Linked DNA regions of Oryzias latipes. Each later gene encodes a partner of the first gene's protein in a complex. Links are inferred from orthologs where the notes say so. Each region holds a gene or a part of one and is shown in the gene's direction. Other genes may lie near its edges.

Region 1 (5,110 bases):
GAGAAAAAATTTCCATGTCCTCCGCAGGGTGAGAAGGAAATTTCAAGTCCTCCACAGGATGAAAAGGAAATTCCCAGTCCTCAGGATGAAAAGGAAATTCCAAGTCCTCCTCAGGATGAAAAGGAAATTCCAAGTCCTACTCAGGATGAAAAGGTAATTCCAAGTCCTCCTCAGGATGAGAAGGAAATTCCAAGTCCTCAGCAGGATGAGAAGGAAATTCCAAGTCCTCAGCAGGATGAGAAGGAAATTCCAAGTCCTCCACAAGATGAGAAGGAAATTCCAAGTCCTCAGCAGGATGAGAAGGAAATTCCAAGTCCTCAGCAGGATGAGAAGGAAATTCCAAGTCCTCAGCAGGATGAGAAAGACAGTGGAAATTCAAAGCCAAATGAGAGAGAAAGCCAAAGCCCTCTGCAAGACGAGGAAGAAATTGAGGAAAGCTCTCTCCAAGATGTCACAGAAAACGCTGGAGAAAAGGAGAGCGCTCTGCAAAATGGGGAAGAAAATGAAAGTTCACTGCAAGATGAGAAACCAAATTGGATCTCAATTCAAGGTGAGAAAAAAATTGCGAGACATGACGATGACAATGAAAGTTCTTTGCAAGGAAATAAAGAAAATGCTGGTGTGAGCCGCTTGTGTTCAACATAAAGCTGTTAGTTTTAGTGGAGTTTACATTTAAAACAAGAACTCCAATGACACCATAAAAACAAAATTGAAACTCTTACCTTTCTGAACGCATTCATTTAAGGGACTATGCTACATAATACCGTATTTCATGAAACATCATGTTAGTCGTTTTGTATATACTTATGTCATTGTTAGTTTCTTTGCATTTTGTATTTACTGGGTTTTGTCACATCTTTGTAATATTTTACTTGTTTACTTTTTTCCACTCAGCTAAGATGAATTTTGGTTATTCACTTTTAGAAAATGTAAAATATGTTAAAAGTGTATGTAAATGATTATATGATGTGTTATTAAAAGTTTTTTTGTTGTACCCTGTCTCTACCAAAGTATAATTTCCTAATTTAAGTTTTTAATTAAGAATCTTTATTCAGGAAAATCTAGTTTAAACAAAATTTGACTAGCTTTTATCAAGTAGGTAAGGACAATTCTTAACACTTAAGCTCAGCTTAATGATTGTGTTGGGTAATAAGGCAGTAGTGATCAGTTTTTACATTTTTCTTATAATCTTGGAATTTTATGGTATGCGTTCCTACAAGGATGAATTGGCTCCATGAACTGAACTTCGGCGTTAAGCTATGCTTACGTAGTTTTATGTTGGATAAATTTAAAAATCCCACTCCGATCATCTTTAGTGATATTTCCAAAGCATTCCCAGTAATTATGATAATGTTTTTTTTTTAATACACTAAAATAAAATTGAAAAAAATCTGCTTTTTGGGACAGTTTCTGCACGGTGGCAGTAGTTCATTAAAATTTTGCCTCAGGAAGTCGGCAGGAGCATTTGCAAGTTACAACCCCACCTTCCCTCCCAGGGAAAATAGTTTTTGGGCTGCCCAGCGTATTTTCTACGTCACAAGAAAAGTTCTTTTCACCTGACTCACAGCGATTTGCATAAAGATATTGCCGGGAATGTAATTTTATACTTAAATGTCTTCATATATGCTCTCCATAATCAGAAAAACGCTACAAGAACACGTTAAAAATAAGATTTTGCTCACATGTTTGTTCCCGTTTACAACTGTCACTCGACACTGAATGAAGAAAATAGGAGCAACCAGGTCGGAAATCCAGATTTGATGATTGGTGGAAAGCAGAAGAGGGCGGGACTTGTGTCTAATTCAGTTATTCGATTGGCTCTCTTCCAGTGTACGTCACTTTAGTGTCAAAGTAAGAGACTGTTACAAAAAATATATGTATTTCTGGGCTCTTGTTTAAATATTACCTGATCAGAATGCTCAGTCAACACAAAATAAATCCTAAAACTGCTGTAAGTATGATTTATTAAAGCAAAAACAACAACAAACAAACACTATAGCTGTGCTTTCGACGCGCTTACGCCGTTGTTGTGTTTCCTTAGCAGGTAGTTTAGCACGCGAGGCTAACAGGCTTGTATATAAAAATAAGGGTTAAAAAGTTGACACGTAGAGACATTTGTTTGATACTATACGCGTCGTAAGATTAATCTATTTAGCTAAGGTTGAAATGTGAATTGTTAGGTAAAGCGGGTGACTTCTTGCTATCATAGTTTTCGTTTCATTTTTGCTCTAACGTTTTGCAGACTAGCTAACCCTGGCTGTTAAGTTTGTTCCGATTGTTTAAACATTTATTTAGTAGTGCGAAAGTGAAAGCATATAATTAAGTTTAGCCATCAAAGTCAAATATGTTTTAGATTAGATAAAACTTTATTTAGCTTAATCATCTCACAATGGGGAAATTCTCTAAAGACCTGATGATTTTAACTGATGATTCATCAGTTTAAACTGATGATTCTCTAAAAACCTGTTCTAAACCTGATGCATAAGCTGCATAGAAGGATAAAGTCACTTTGCCTGCTGTGTGCTTGCAGGTTGCATAAAGAATCTCTGACGTGACAGATGACTAAGTGGAAGAAATCATGGCATCTGAGTAGGTTGGCTTCACACTGGAGGTTCAAGCTCACACAATGTCCCACTGTAACAGAGAGCTGGTCCGGTTCTATTTAGCCTATAAGATGTCATGCAGGGACTATCCTGTGTCCCTGCTGAAGCCCACAGACGATGGGGGAGAAACTGAAGAGGACCACTCCGATGCCCGGAATCGCAGGCTGGTCAGCAGTGAGGACGGCCGGCTGAGGAGGTCCTGTCCCTGTTGTGCTAGCATGGACGCCATCAAATCAACTCTCAAAGATTCGGCCGATGAGTTTGAACGTCGTTTCCATCAAGGTTTTAGTGATCTCTCCGTGCAGCTTCATATCACTCCAGACACGGCCTACCAAAACTTCAAAAGGGTGTTGGATGAGCTGTTCAAGGATGGGATCAACTGGGGGCGCGTTGTGGGTTTGTTTGTCTTTGGTGGTGCGCTGTGTGTCGAGTGTGTCGAGAGGAATATGGGTGAGCTGGTCTCCCGCATTGCTGAATGGATGACCCAGTACCTGGATGAGCAAATAAGTCCATGGATCCACAGTCATGGAGGATGGGTGAGTCTCTTCCTGACATAGTCATGATTTTTTAATGTTGGTCCAGGATCAAGTGGACGGTGTCTGTAAGTTTATGTTTTCATTGTTGAGTCCATATCTTCAGTTTTCTTGACATTCAAAGTTCTGTTTTATCCTGTTTGTTTTTTTGACAGAGTTAGTTAATTGCTGCATCTCTATAGTCATCTTTCATTCTGATCCTTTATATAACTTTAAAACTTTTAAAAAAAAGCAACATTTACTTATTGGAACTGTGGAGCTGTAAAAGAATTTCCTAAGTCCTGATTCTCCAGAAGCCACTTTAAGTCAAAAGTTAAGCATTTTGGCAGAAACCCAGTTTTCTGTTTTTTTATAGTTTCAAATCTGATTTACGTTCAGCAGAAAACATTCTTCCATCTATTTTTTTTGAAGAGGAAAAACCAACATCTTAGACATTTACATGGAGATTGTTTTTTTTTTTTTTTTTTAAAGTGAAGTGGATGGTGTTTGAAAACTCCCTGTCAAGTCTGTTTAAAGGGCCTATATTACGCTTTGTCGAAGCATTTTAGAGTAAACTATTTTCATATATAGGATCATATATTACCTTTGGCACACAAAATAAGAATTTCTTATTATTTTCAAGTTATTTTCTACCTGGAAGTGAGACGACTCATTTTTTGTGTGAGAAATTAACATTACAGTAACTTAAAAGCTCAAAAAGTTGAATTTGCTTGATATGAGCCCATTAAAGATTTACTAAGCATTTATAACATTTATGATAAAAACAAAGCTTAGACATCCTTTGGAAATAGCAGTGGAATTACAGTGATATAGTGATGGGATGATGATGCCTAAAGGAGTGTTAATTTCTCAACACTGTATTGACAAAGTGTTGATTCCTCTATAGTGACCCCTGCAGTAATTCTGAAACTGTTAAAGCCCCACTTGAATTAAAATGGGATCATGTCAACATGTTTTTGTAACATTTTTCTCATGATGGAGGATATATATATATATATATATTTTTTTAAACTGCAATTTTTGAGTATTTCTTTATTCAAAATGTTGTGAATCAGGAGAAGACAAAAAAAGCCTGTAGTTGTGACAGAAACTACAATCAGTAGGTCACAAGCTCCCTGCTCTGCTCCATTCTGATGCATCCGCTCGCCGTTTTTTTTAATCTTTTACTTTACACACAGAATAACAGTCTAAAAATGGATTCATTCATACATTTTAATAAGAAACAAAAGTTTTTGTAGTCTTTGTTTCAAAATGATTTCTCTTGGTAGGACTTCGTATGAAAGTGCAATAACCCTTGAATCCCTCATCTTCAACAGCAATGAGTGGTTGACAGTCTTTCGTGATCATCTTCACCGTGGCCTCATCCGTTGCTTGTTAGGAACTGCAAGTTAAAAAAAAATCTTTAGTTTAAAGCTTAATTTTTATTAATAATATTGCAAACACACACAAAGACTATTTTTGAACATGTCAAAGACTCCCATGAGGATTTTCATATTCTGTGCTGCCACATTGAGCTCTATAATGCCTCAGCATTGATGGATTGCTCTAGTTCAGTGTTTTTCAACCTTTTTTGAGCCACGGCACACTTTAACCTTGACAAAAATCCCGCGGCACACCAGCATCCCAAAAAAAAAAAAGAAGCAGAAACTCATAGTCTGTTTTGATTTACAGCCCCCCCCCCCCCCCCCCCCCCCCCCGGCAATCTGACGTGCATTTTTGTGATAATTGTGGCAGAAAAAGCAGGAAGTTGCAGATGTTTTTCTAAAAGATGTAATAAAAGTTAAGTTACATACAAGCTGTATGTTCGTTGTGTTTTCAAGACGCTGTCCCTTTAAGCCAATGCATCATGGGAGATGTAGTGTAAAAACTGCGAGAAAACGGCAGAAAGACTCGCGTCTCTGAGCTTCATGGTTTTGTTCACTTGTTACACGGTCTGATACCGGATTCTGTGGAAAGCTACACCGCTAAAGACGA
Region 2 (4,940 bases), on another chromosome or scaffold:
AGACTACGCAGGTACCTGCAACTCCGGTTTGGTAGTTGGTGAATGTCTGTCGCTCCTGGAGTCTCTTTAATGCTTCTGGGTTTTTTTTGTTTTGTTTTTTTATCAGATGGTGAAGGCGTTGTGGAGCAGCTGGCAGCCAAATTCAAAACCCCAGAGATTGCAGAGACCTTTAAAAAGACCTTCTGCGAGTGCCAGAGCCGCATGAGTCAAACTGACGGTGACGCTTCATGCGCCTTGTCACCACAGATGTCCAGAGTCCAGGAGCACTCTAGAGAGACCAACCCACAAGTGTTCCTCAAAGTAGCTGCTGATGACGAGCCGCTCGGCTCCATCACCATAGAGCTTTTCTCCCACATTGTTCCCAAGACTGCTGAGAACTTCAGAGCCCTCTGCACCGGCGAGAAAGGCTTTGGCCTTCAGAACTCCATCTTTCACAGGGTCGTACCAGATTTCATGTGTCAGGTACGGAGGCAGGGGGACTGATCTTGTTTTAGTAACATGAAGCTCTCTGTCCCTCAGAGCAGGATTTCAGCTTCTCCCACACTTTCCACTTTCTGTTTCAGGGTGGTGATATCACCAACAGCAACGGCACAGGGGGCAAGTCCATCTACGGGAGCTCGTTTGAGGACGAGAACTTTGACGTTCGCCACACAGGTCCAGGGATCCTGTCGATGGCAAATCGAGGACGCGACACCAACAATTCCCAGTTCTTTATAACGCTGAAAAAAGCAGAACACCTGGACTTCAAACACGTGGCGTTTGGCTGGGTTCGGGACGGCATGGATGTTGTTCAGCAGATGGGAGAGCTGGGCACAAAGCAAGGGGTTCCCTCTAAGAAGCTGGTTATCACAGAGTGTGGACAGCTGTAGCCTTTTGAAAGTCTAAGAGCAACATGGAACTCTCTTCAGGCTTTTGAAGAGCACAATCTTTCTCCCAAAGCACAATCTTTAGTCACATTTTTATTAAGAAGGTAAAGATTGGAAACTATTTTGCAGTGTAACCTCAAATGGGAAACAGTGAGGAGGAGAATTTTAGGGCAATGTTACCTTTGCTCCCTTTTGACATGTCATTTAAATATTGGTCAAGAGTTTATTTTTTTGTGTAAAATTGTACATGAACTTTTAAAGGTGTTTTTGTTTGGGTTTTTGTTATGTTTCTGCTCCGTTTGACTGTACTGGTTTTCTTCACTGCTAGTTGAATGTTTTGCGGTTTTTCAGGAAGCAGCTCTGTCACCACGTACACGTCTCCCATTTCAAATGCAGTCTCTGGTTACATTTTAAAGTGGGAAACCAACAACATTTTCTTTGAGCAACCGCCGAAGGTCATATTTACCCTCTGGAGGGTAACTAGATGTTTCTGCTTTACAAACTACCAAGATGTTTGATTATGTGTACAGAGTGAGATGACGTTCAATTCAGATACTGCTTGTACCAAAACAAATCTCAAAATTAATAAAGTTGCTTTACAAAATATTTAAGTGTTTGTTTTCAGTGTCAAATTATTGATTAAGCTTTCATTTAGCATTGGAAAAGCTCTTTATTACAATATGAAGGGGAGCTAAGATCATGATAAACCTAAAGGAACTAAAAAGGAAAACGTTGGTAAGGTATAGTTAACTGAATTATTTATCACAAGGAAATAAAGTGGGGAAATAATATATTCGATTATTAAAACTAGGAGATATAATCTATAATGATTCCGTAAAACATTTTTACGAAAAGACAAACATAATAGTGCATTACCACTTTTGGCCGCCACCTCCAAGTAGCAGCAAACTAAGTACGTGGCTGTCCGGAGTGACGTCAGCAGGATGTAAATACGGTGCCCAGGCGCATGCTCGGTCTTTTTCCTCTCCTGAGCTTTTTGGGGCGGTCGGCCTTGTCTCTGTCTCTGGAAGATCTACCACCGAAGCAGCCAAAATGATCATCTACAAGTGCGTCATCAGTGGTAAGTCGATGTAATTGAGTTTTGTGTCTTGAAGTTTGGTGATGTTACGGTCTAGAAAGCCTAGTTTGAGGCGTTACGCTGTTAGTGATGGGAAACTAGCTTTCGGTGGCTAGCTAGCTAACTCGTGTATCGTGTTCAGAAGTTAGCGATGCTAACGAAAACTATGGAGTGTTATCCGCCCCGCCGGTTAGCCGGCTTTTCCGAAACAGAGTTTTGGCCGCTTTTCAAAAATGTATACGAAATCTTTTCAGTCTGAGCCAACGCGTTTGTTTCGTACTAATAAATAATTATCGGGCCTCTGGATTTAACACTGCGGCCTGGCGTTTTAGAGTTGTGTGGGAGTTTTTGTCTATAGCTTTTCGGCTATATAGCTTCTAGTTCAGTTTGATTTGTGTGGCCAGAGTGTGTAGACTGGCAGTGCACGCATTTTAAATTGAGTTGGGTTCATGAAACTGTAAAGTTCTGGAAAATTACCAAGATTATATTAAGGGGTTTTGTTTCGCTTTGATTTTTAGTGTGTATTAGACTCAGGGTTTAAGCTATTCAAGGCACAAAGAAGATAGACTATTCGGCTTTAATCTGGGAGAGGCTTTTATTTAGAAATGCACAGGAAGTGCGGGTTTGAACATGTCGTACTAGTGATGGAGTGTGATTCCACTTAATTGAAACCATACAATAGGAAAGTTTTTCAGTAAGGTAGTGAAATGTGTAATAAATTTGGTTCTTTATTACCCCTCAAGAGTTGTGCTTACCAATGTTCTTTTGTTGTAGGGGATGAGATGTTCTCTGATATTTACAAAATAAAAGAAACGGAAATCTTCTACGAAGTTGAAGGAAAGGTGAGTGAGATGACACAATCATCACAGAAACTGCTATTCAGCTAAAAGGGTTGACCTATATTTTTAGTATCTTTCAACTCTTTCACTTCAACATAGTGTTTTTCCAAGTACCAGTAAATGAAACTTAAAAATTGTGAAAATGTTGTTGAGCTTCATCTTGTTACTACGCCCCTATGCCTTTTTGGGTTACATGTTCTCACCCTGTTTGTATTGATTTCAGACGGTCACCAGGACAGAGGGATTTGACGATGCCTTAATTGGAGCCAATGCATCTGCCGAGGAGGCGACTGAGACCAACGAGTCGAGCACAGTTTCCGGGGTGGACATTGTCCTCAACCACAACCTACAAGAGACGGGCTTTGATAAGAAGGGGTACTTGACTTACATTAAAGACTACATGAAGTCGTGAGTATCAGTCTTTATATATTTCAATCCCACAAAAAGACATTTACCAGTTTGGACAGCATCAAGAACATGGCCTTGCTTGTATGTTTAGTATTAAGGCAAAGCTGCAAGAGTCCAACCCTGACAGAGTGGAGAAATTCATGGCCGAGGCTCAAGTGGCAGTAAAGGGCGTTGTTGGAAACATCAAGAACTACCAGGTATTTACAAAGCTGTCTTCTGCAGACTCTTTTAATGGGCTCCATTCATTGTTTAGTGTTGGATGTACTTTCAGTGTGATGACAAAAACAAGGAAACAGCAGACAGTGATATACGTGACACTAAACATCTGGCTTGATTTCATTTAAGAACCAAATGAACGTCTTCGTTCTGCATTTTTCTGATGGACATATTTAAAGAAAATTTATATTAATTTGTTTATGTACAAAATCAAGTCGGGATACATCCTTTATCAGAAAATAAATGGTGACACCCAATTCTAAACAGTAGAAGACGTTTTTGTTTATGGCTATAAAAGATTTGCGCTAATGTTTTACAGATGAGCAGAAGTACACGCATCAGATTAAAACATAAATCTTTAGTGTGAAAAATCTCCTGCAGGGTAAATTTGAGATTTTAAAATGGGTTTCTTTGTATTTATTCATCAATGTGTTTTCTAGATTGTCTATTTGAATCACAGCTGAAGGTTAGTTACTAATTTAGTCTTTTTTTTAATCCTGTAAGGAGATATCCTTAATGTAAGGATATACAATGTAATGCAACTCTGGAAAATGCTGTTTACTCACAACGTCCCCCCCATAATACTATTTGATGGAATGACGGGGCCAAACCAAACTTCCCAAAGTTTCAATGGTATTTTGGACAGCTCATCACATTTGAACTCAGGTTCTAGTCCTCTGACCCGCTCAAAGAGCATATTTGGGACATAGAGGCTGGGAGATGCGATTCCTTTGCTGATTTATTCTAAATGACGCAATTTTTGATTTTATGGCCTTAAAGCGTTCATTTTTAGAATGAACCAATTGAGTTATGTAAATGGTGTTTTATTTTTCCAAATAAACTTGCATAGATTTGGACTGTCCTAAAACACAGTACAGTTTTATTTTTGGCTAAAATGGTATAATCATAATTAAAGCCACTGAAAACGCTTTAAAAACAGGGAAAAAAAAGATCATCGAAACTGGACTTAAAAATTCTCATTTGCTTCTCAGTTTTACACCGGCGAGTCCATGAACCCCGAGGGCACGGTGGGTCTGCTGGACTACCGTGAGGATGGTATCACACCATACATGCTCTTCTTCAAGGACGGCTTGGAGATTGAGAAATGCGTGAGTAGCTTTTAGTGTTTATTATACGTCATGGCTAAAAATGTTTTTTAAAAATCTAATTCTCACTGTTCTGTTTTCAGTAAAAATCTGCAATGAGAACTGCTGTTCAATTGCCTGCTGCTTCCCAAAAGGCCCCCCAGGAGCAGACCTAAGGAGCCCCCACTCTGTGCTCTTTTTGTCTGAATGGATACTTTTGTCCTCAGGTTCCACTTATGCTGAGCGGAATCAAACACGGTCACAGAATACAGTTTTTAAACTTTGTTTTTGGCTTTTGGGTGCTTTTTGTCTCCATGGAAACCAAGTGAATGATTGAAGCTCTGACTCTGGCCAAAAGTGTTTTTCCTTCATCTGCCTTCAGTTTTAGCAACAACAAACATCCCAGACCACATTGAGTTTGGGTTTATGGTTTCAAAATTCATCTATC
Region 3 (5,028 bases), on another chromosome or scaffold:
AAACAGAGAACGGATACTTTGATTATTCCTGCCAGCTGAAAAACACCACAATTCTGTTAATTTGGGAGGAGAAAATGGAGTATTTGAAGGAGAACTGCTACACAGAAGTCTAACACCCCCTGGAATGGCTCCAGTAACCAATGCAAACTCTGCAGGTGAAACATGCAGACTATTGGTGGACAGAAACTCAATGTATGACATCAGGTTACCTTGTGGATTAATCAGCTGTGTCACAAGAGAAATGTTCTTTTCAAACTAATTTTCAAGACAAATACTCTTGTTTTTGTATAGAATATCTGCATTGTTCCAAATATAGTAGCGCTGAGTAGAAAAATTATGTTTGTAGATCAAAGTCTATGCCAATAAAACCTGCTTATGAAAATTAGACAGTTTTAAAGGATTTTTTTCCATTATTAAATTACATAATAAAATAAATGGCAGACCTCCAAGCTTATCAAATATGTATTTTTATATGAAATTCTAAAATGAGGTTTCACTTTTTAAGAAGTTTTTTTAACCATTTCATTTTGATGACATTACTTAGAATGGAAAAGTTAAGAAAGTCAAGTCCTCCGTCTTTTGATGAATTAATTACTACTGATTATCGTACATAGTGGATTCTATTTCTCCAAAGGAAGTTAAAAAGTATCTGATCAATCCTTTTTGCATTTTTACCCTCTTCCCTTCTCTACTTCTGTACCTGTCCCAAGCCCGGTTGCTTTGAGAGGGTTGCGTCAGGAAGGGCATCCGGCGTAAAACATTGCCAAGACTACCATGCGAATCTTCCACTGTGAAGTGGCTGATTCGCTGTGGCGACCCCTGATGGGACAAGCCGAAAGTGAAACAACTGTCCAGAGATAGTGAGGAAACAATGTAGACTAGTCTGGAAATTCCTTCTGCTTTTGCTAAGAGGACGTGACCTTTTTGTAGCCAGCGATTAAACTTATTTTGTGCTTTTGCAATCATAGGATTATAGTTATTCAGTTCTCTTTGTTTTTGTTCTTTAGTTATCTGCAATCCCAAATATGTGACTTTTTCTTTGACTACTATACTATTTATGGATGTTAGAGCACATTGTTTAAGAGGAAATAACTCACATTTCTTTAGGTTTAGATAGGTCCTGATGCTTTTGAAAATGTTTCTATAACTTGAAGAAACCTGTGAGGAGTTTAAGAATAATGATTCATCTGCCAGTTGACTTACAAGAATGTTTTTACCAGCAATAGAAATCCCATCAATATTCTCAATTTTATTTATCTGCAGAAAACGTGTGCAACCAGAAGAAACAGGTATACAGAGACAGTACACCCCTGTTTTATTCCTCTCCGAAGACAGAATCTGCGACTCGAGTAGTGCCAGCACTCAACTTGTGACGTCGTGAGTTTTGGCAGAAAAAAAGGGGGAGGGGTGAAAATGAGGAGCTTTTTGGTTCTGCGCTTCTTCTCTGGTCATTACGGTAACCAGACCAGACAAACAAGTCCTAGCTCGCAACAGTGACGTCAGCGCGCTGCGAAAGTGCAGGGGCGCGCGGCGATTGGGCGAAAGCGGAGCAGGGGTGTAATGTGCCGCGGGCAGAGAACACCAAAACATTAACAACAAGCAGTTTCTGCCGCTCGAAGCTAACTTCGGAGACTCTTTCCCACCTCCGGAGCGGACGCCGCAGAGATTTCGGGTGAGAAAAACTACTTCCAGGAGGTTCTCTTTAGCTGCGCGGAAGGTGGAGGGGACCGCTTCCGCCCTGTATGAAGTTTCTTTTGTCCTCTTGCTCTTCGGTCAACAACAACACAAAACAAACGAGGCAGTGTGTCGACGAAGAGCACAGCTCGCGAGCGCGTTGAACTACGAAAAACAAAGTACGTTATAACATCTTAACGAAGCGCGTGCTGTCAAAGTTGTGTCCTTATCTCGTGGAGTTGTTATTTTTTTAATACCTTTGGACTCAACCACTGATAGGCAGCTGGGTGTGTTACAGGTAGACACATAATTCATTTAGCTAATAGACATTTTATGACTCTAGGAGTGGAAAGTTGGGCCTAGCTCAATTTCTATTTCATTTCGGCTTCAAATGTGAAAGAAAAATAGTATTTGATTTGTGATGGTCTTCGTTTAAAATGATCATCAAGCTTCTCTGGTAGTGAATTATTGGAACAACGTGTCCTCAAAACACCTTTTTTTCTGCAGATGTTACGATGGCAGCAAAGTTCACCATCTCAGACGATTCGGAGTCATCCGAGGAGGTAGAGGGAGGAAAACTTGACCTGGGAGCGGCAGCAGGAGGAGAAGGGGAGCACCTTCATGATCGACATTCCCTCACCCTGCCAGAGCTTCGACTCACAAGTAAGCAGACCAAAAGCATTATGGGAAATGAGAAGCACTTTTAAGAGTTGTTTGAGAAAATTCCAGTCTTAAGGCAGCAGGATTCGGATTTTTTGGGATCCTGAGGTGGAGCGGTTAGCTGTTTTATAGGGTCACTGTATGCAAGAACTGGACTGAGCGACCCCTCCCACCTCACGTTCCAAACAGGAAATCCCTGCTGGCTCCAAGAAGACAAAGTCTTATAGACTTCTATTGCGAAATAATCAACTATTGCTGACTCTATATGATCCTTTTTTTTAATAATTATATTTTTTTCTATAGTGCAAATTATTTCAGTTATAATCTGAGCCTTCAGATGCCTCAATAAAAGCATGTGGTTTCATGTCAAACATTTCACTGACTGATTCTCCCAAATGATAGGGCTGTAGACCTTTAACAAGCTCTCTCCTGATTGGTGAGTGGTTTCCATAGAAACTTTGACTCAGACCAATCAGAGTTTACTAACATTGTCCCACGCATTGCCAACATTTTGGCGACGACATTGACTTTGTTTCATTGGAGCTGGATGGACGGTATTTCCTCACTATACAGTGAATGGCTTGTACTTCAGTTTTTGTTAGGACCCCATATAGAAAAAGCTGTCATTGATAGGGGATGGATAATTTTCTCAAGGATAAACATTGTCTTTAATAAAGCGTTGTTGTTGTTTTTTTTATATTTATGAAATATAAATATGCAGTTTAAATTGTAGTGCCATTTAGATGACACAAAAAGAAATAGACGCTGAAGGAGAAACTAATACCTGCTGGAAGAACAAAAAGGGAACAAAACTTTTCCTAGTGGTAAGGTAATCACTGTCTCACCTAAATGTGAACACAATCAGAGATTGTGTGCAGTCAGTACAGTGTTTTCTTGTTTATCATGGAGTTACATTCTAAATATCGATAAAGTTTGATTCTTTTCATATCCAGACTTTTCTCTCTTTTTTTTAACTCTCAAATCTCAAGCCTTCGTAGAAAATAAGTCCAATATTATAGAATGAAAACAAAGATGTAACTGTGGCACAAATGAGATCCACAAGGTCTACAGCCAATCAGAACGCAGTGTGCTGTATAAAACAATACACATACTGAATTGCACTACAAAGATCCACGAAACAGTGAGACAGCGATAGATGAGCCGCGTAACAGAGTGGGATCACGACCCCAAAAACGTTAAATCTCAAGTTGAGTAGAAAGAGTTTGACTTGTTTTGTTTTGGAAGCTGCTGCTGCATGGAAACTGTCGACAGTGAGACTCTCTGGACTGTCCACACGATTCAGCTCAAACTGCGGATTCTGACGCAGAAAAAGGCAGCTTTGCACCGATCAGCAGCTCACTACTGTAAAGTTTCGCACGGCTGCTTTTCTATGCATCGGAAACAGCTGAAGTGACGTCAATTGTGCGACTGCTTAATGAATTACGGTCGTCGAAAGAGCTAAAGCAGCGGCGTTAAAGGGTTCAACGGCCTCTGGTTGGAGTCTTCTGAGGATGGAGCCGTCAGCATCTGCAGCTGTAGCCTACAATCAACAAAGTGACTAGTAACTGCAGAAAAAGTCACTATTTAACAGTTTTTGAAATGATTTAAAATGGAACAGAACCGGGTTGTCTGTGTTTGCGCACGAATCAGTGGAGCCTCACGGGACGTGGCAAACGTGGCATCAGATACTATTTGTCTGATTGTTATTTTCCTTATGTTTTTAGCTCGTACGTTTCATGGCGCAGCATCATTATATTTGACCAAAACTTTATTTTTTACATTTTTTATAAACTAACAGGCAACATAAAAAGGGGAAAATGAGGCCGAATTCCCTCACTGCTGCCTAACTCCCAATGCATTTTGGGATTGTAGATTCCCCTCATAAGTGGCAATTCAGACACAGCAGAACCCTTGAAGGGGTGTTTCCTCTGTCTTCAGGTCTCCCAGGTTACCCGTACTTTTTCAACGTTCGTTAACATTTTGTCCTTACCTGTCATAAAGGTAACGGGCGTACCAGGCTGAATTCAGAGTCCACCGCTTCCACGTACTCCAGAGATGAGGACCTCGCGCGGGAAGACGAGGCCGGAACCCCCACTGATGGGTTGGCCTTCAGGGGCAGATCCAAGTCGGCCCCTCCGGCTCTGTGGGCCGCCAAAAAGTACGGTCAGCAGCTCCGACGGATGAGCGACGAGTTTGACAGCCTGCTGGATAAAGGGGTAAGAGCGGGTGGCGAGGGGGCGGGGCGGCAGACGAGAGTCGCTTCCCGGATTTGAACGTGACATCTGCCTTGTGCAGGAGATGAGGAAGGTGAGGAGCACTGGGGCGGCCAAACAGATGCTCCACTCCACGAGCTGGTGGAACTACCTCTTCAGCCACCCGGAGGCGGAAGGAGAGTACAGCCACCACGAGAGCCACCGCACTGAGTAAGGATGGAGAGGAAGACTGTTGTGATGAAGGACTCGGAGGAGGACAGAAACCACGGGGGCATCTACACAAGAGGAGGGGTCGACCCACTCAAATACGAGAGGAATGGGAACACTAAGACCGGGCTGAACGGGTCTCCATCTTTGAACTCGCTCATTTCTTTTAAAACATTTTTGTCTTTCTTTGTATTTGACTGTGATGTTTTTTAAAAAAAAAAAAAGCCCACTTGACTGAGAATTTAGACATTTGACACATCAGCGTATACAATGA

The links.
Region 2: the proteins of bcl-2-like protein 1 (region 1) and tpt1 are in contact, whole or in part, in a crystal structure (PDB 4Z9V), measured with the Homo sapiens proteins. The link is inferred for Oryzias latipes from reciprocal best matches to the Homo sapiens genes BCL2L1 and TPT1. Residues at the interface, in NP_001304848.1 of Homo sapiens: Ala93, Glu96, Phe97, Arg100, Tyr101, Ala104, Phe105, Leu108, Gln111, Ser122, Gln125, Val126, Glu129, Leu130, Asp133, Asn136, Gly138, Arg139, Val141, Ala142, Phe146, Leu194, Tyr195, Ala199, Ala200, Ser203; in NP_003286.1 of Homo sapiens: Phe14, Asp16, Ile17, Lys19, Ile20, Arg21, Ile23, Ala24, Asp25, Gly26, Leu27, Cys28, Leu29.
Region 3: the proteins of bcl-2-like protein 1 (region 1) and bad are in contact, whole or in part, in a crystal structure (PDB 2BZW), measured with the Mus musculus proteins. The link is inferred for Oryzias latipes from reciprocal best matches to the Homo sapiens genes BCL2L1 and BAD. Residues at the interface, in NP_001276645.1 of Mus musculus: Ala93, Glu96, Phe97, Arg100, Tyr101, Arg103, Ala104, Phe105, Leu108, Gln111, Leu112, Gln121, Ser122, Gln125, Val126, Glu129, Leu130, Arg132, Asp133, Asn136, Trp137, Gly138, Arg139, Val141, Ala142, Phe146, Asp193, Leu194, Tyr195, Gly196; in NP_031548.1 of Mus musculus: Ala137, Leu141, Ala143, Ala144, Gln145, Tyr147, Gly148, Arg149, Leu151, Arg152, Met154, Ser155, Asp156, Glu157, Phe158, Glu159, Phe162, Lys163.

What each region holds. Positions count from the first base shown.
Region 1 is NC_019863.2:26,338,938-26,344,047, forward strand, and holds the start of bcl-2-like protein 1, read left to right. Parts: upstream 1-1,719; 5' UTR 1,720-1,951; intron 1,952-2,530; 5' UTR 2,531-2,558; coding exon of another isoform or gene 2,559-2,589; 5' UTR 2,590-2,626; coding exon 2,627-3,139; intron 3,140-5,110. Other genes in the region: activity-dependent neuroprotector homeobox protein, read left to right, coding at 1-645. UniProt on the Homo sapiens protein: Potent inhibitor of cell death. Inhibits activation of caspases. Appears to regulate cell death by blocking the voltage-dependent anion channel (VDAC) by binding to it and preventing the release of the caspase activator, CYC1, from the mitochondrial membrane.
Region 2 is NC_019879.2:17,099,300-17,104,239, reverse strand, and holds the start of tpt1 (translationally-controlled tumor protein), read left to right. Parts: upstream 1-1,842; 5' UTR 1,843-1,919; coding exon 1,920-1,947; intron 1,948-2,718; coding exon 2,719-2,786; intron 2,787-3,006; coding exon 3,007-3,191; intron 3,192-3,282; coding exon 3,283-3,388; intron 3,389-4,399; coding exon 4,400-4,516; intron 4,517-4,596; coding exon 4,597-4,599; 3' UTR 4,600-4,940. Other genes in the region: RANBP2-like and GRIP domain-containing protein 8, read left to right, coding at 1-11, 107-462, 564-869. UniProt on the Homo sapiens protein: Involved in calcium binding and microtubule stabilization. Acts as a negative regulator of TSC22D1-mediated apoptosis, via interaction with and destabilization of TSC22D1 protein.
Region 3 is NC_019876.2:12,866,195-12,871,222, forward strand, and holds the start of bad (bcl2-associated agonist of cell death), read left to right. Parts: upstream 1-1,678; 5' UTR 1,679-1,853; intron 1,854-2,181; 5' UTR 2,182-2,189; coding exon 2,190-2,337; intron 2,338-4,335; coding exon 4,336-4,550; intron 4,551-4,629; coding exon 4,630-4,761; 3' UTR 4,762-5,028. UniProt on the Homo sapiens protein: Promotes cell death. Successfully competes for the binding to Bcl-X(L), Bcl-2 and Bcl-W, thereby affecting the level of heterodimerization of these proteins with BAX. Can reverse the death repressor activity of Bcl-X(L), but not that of Bcl-2.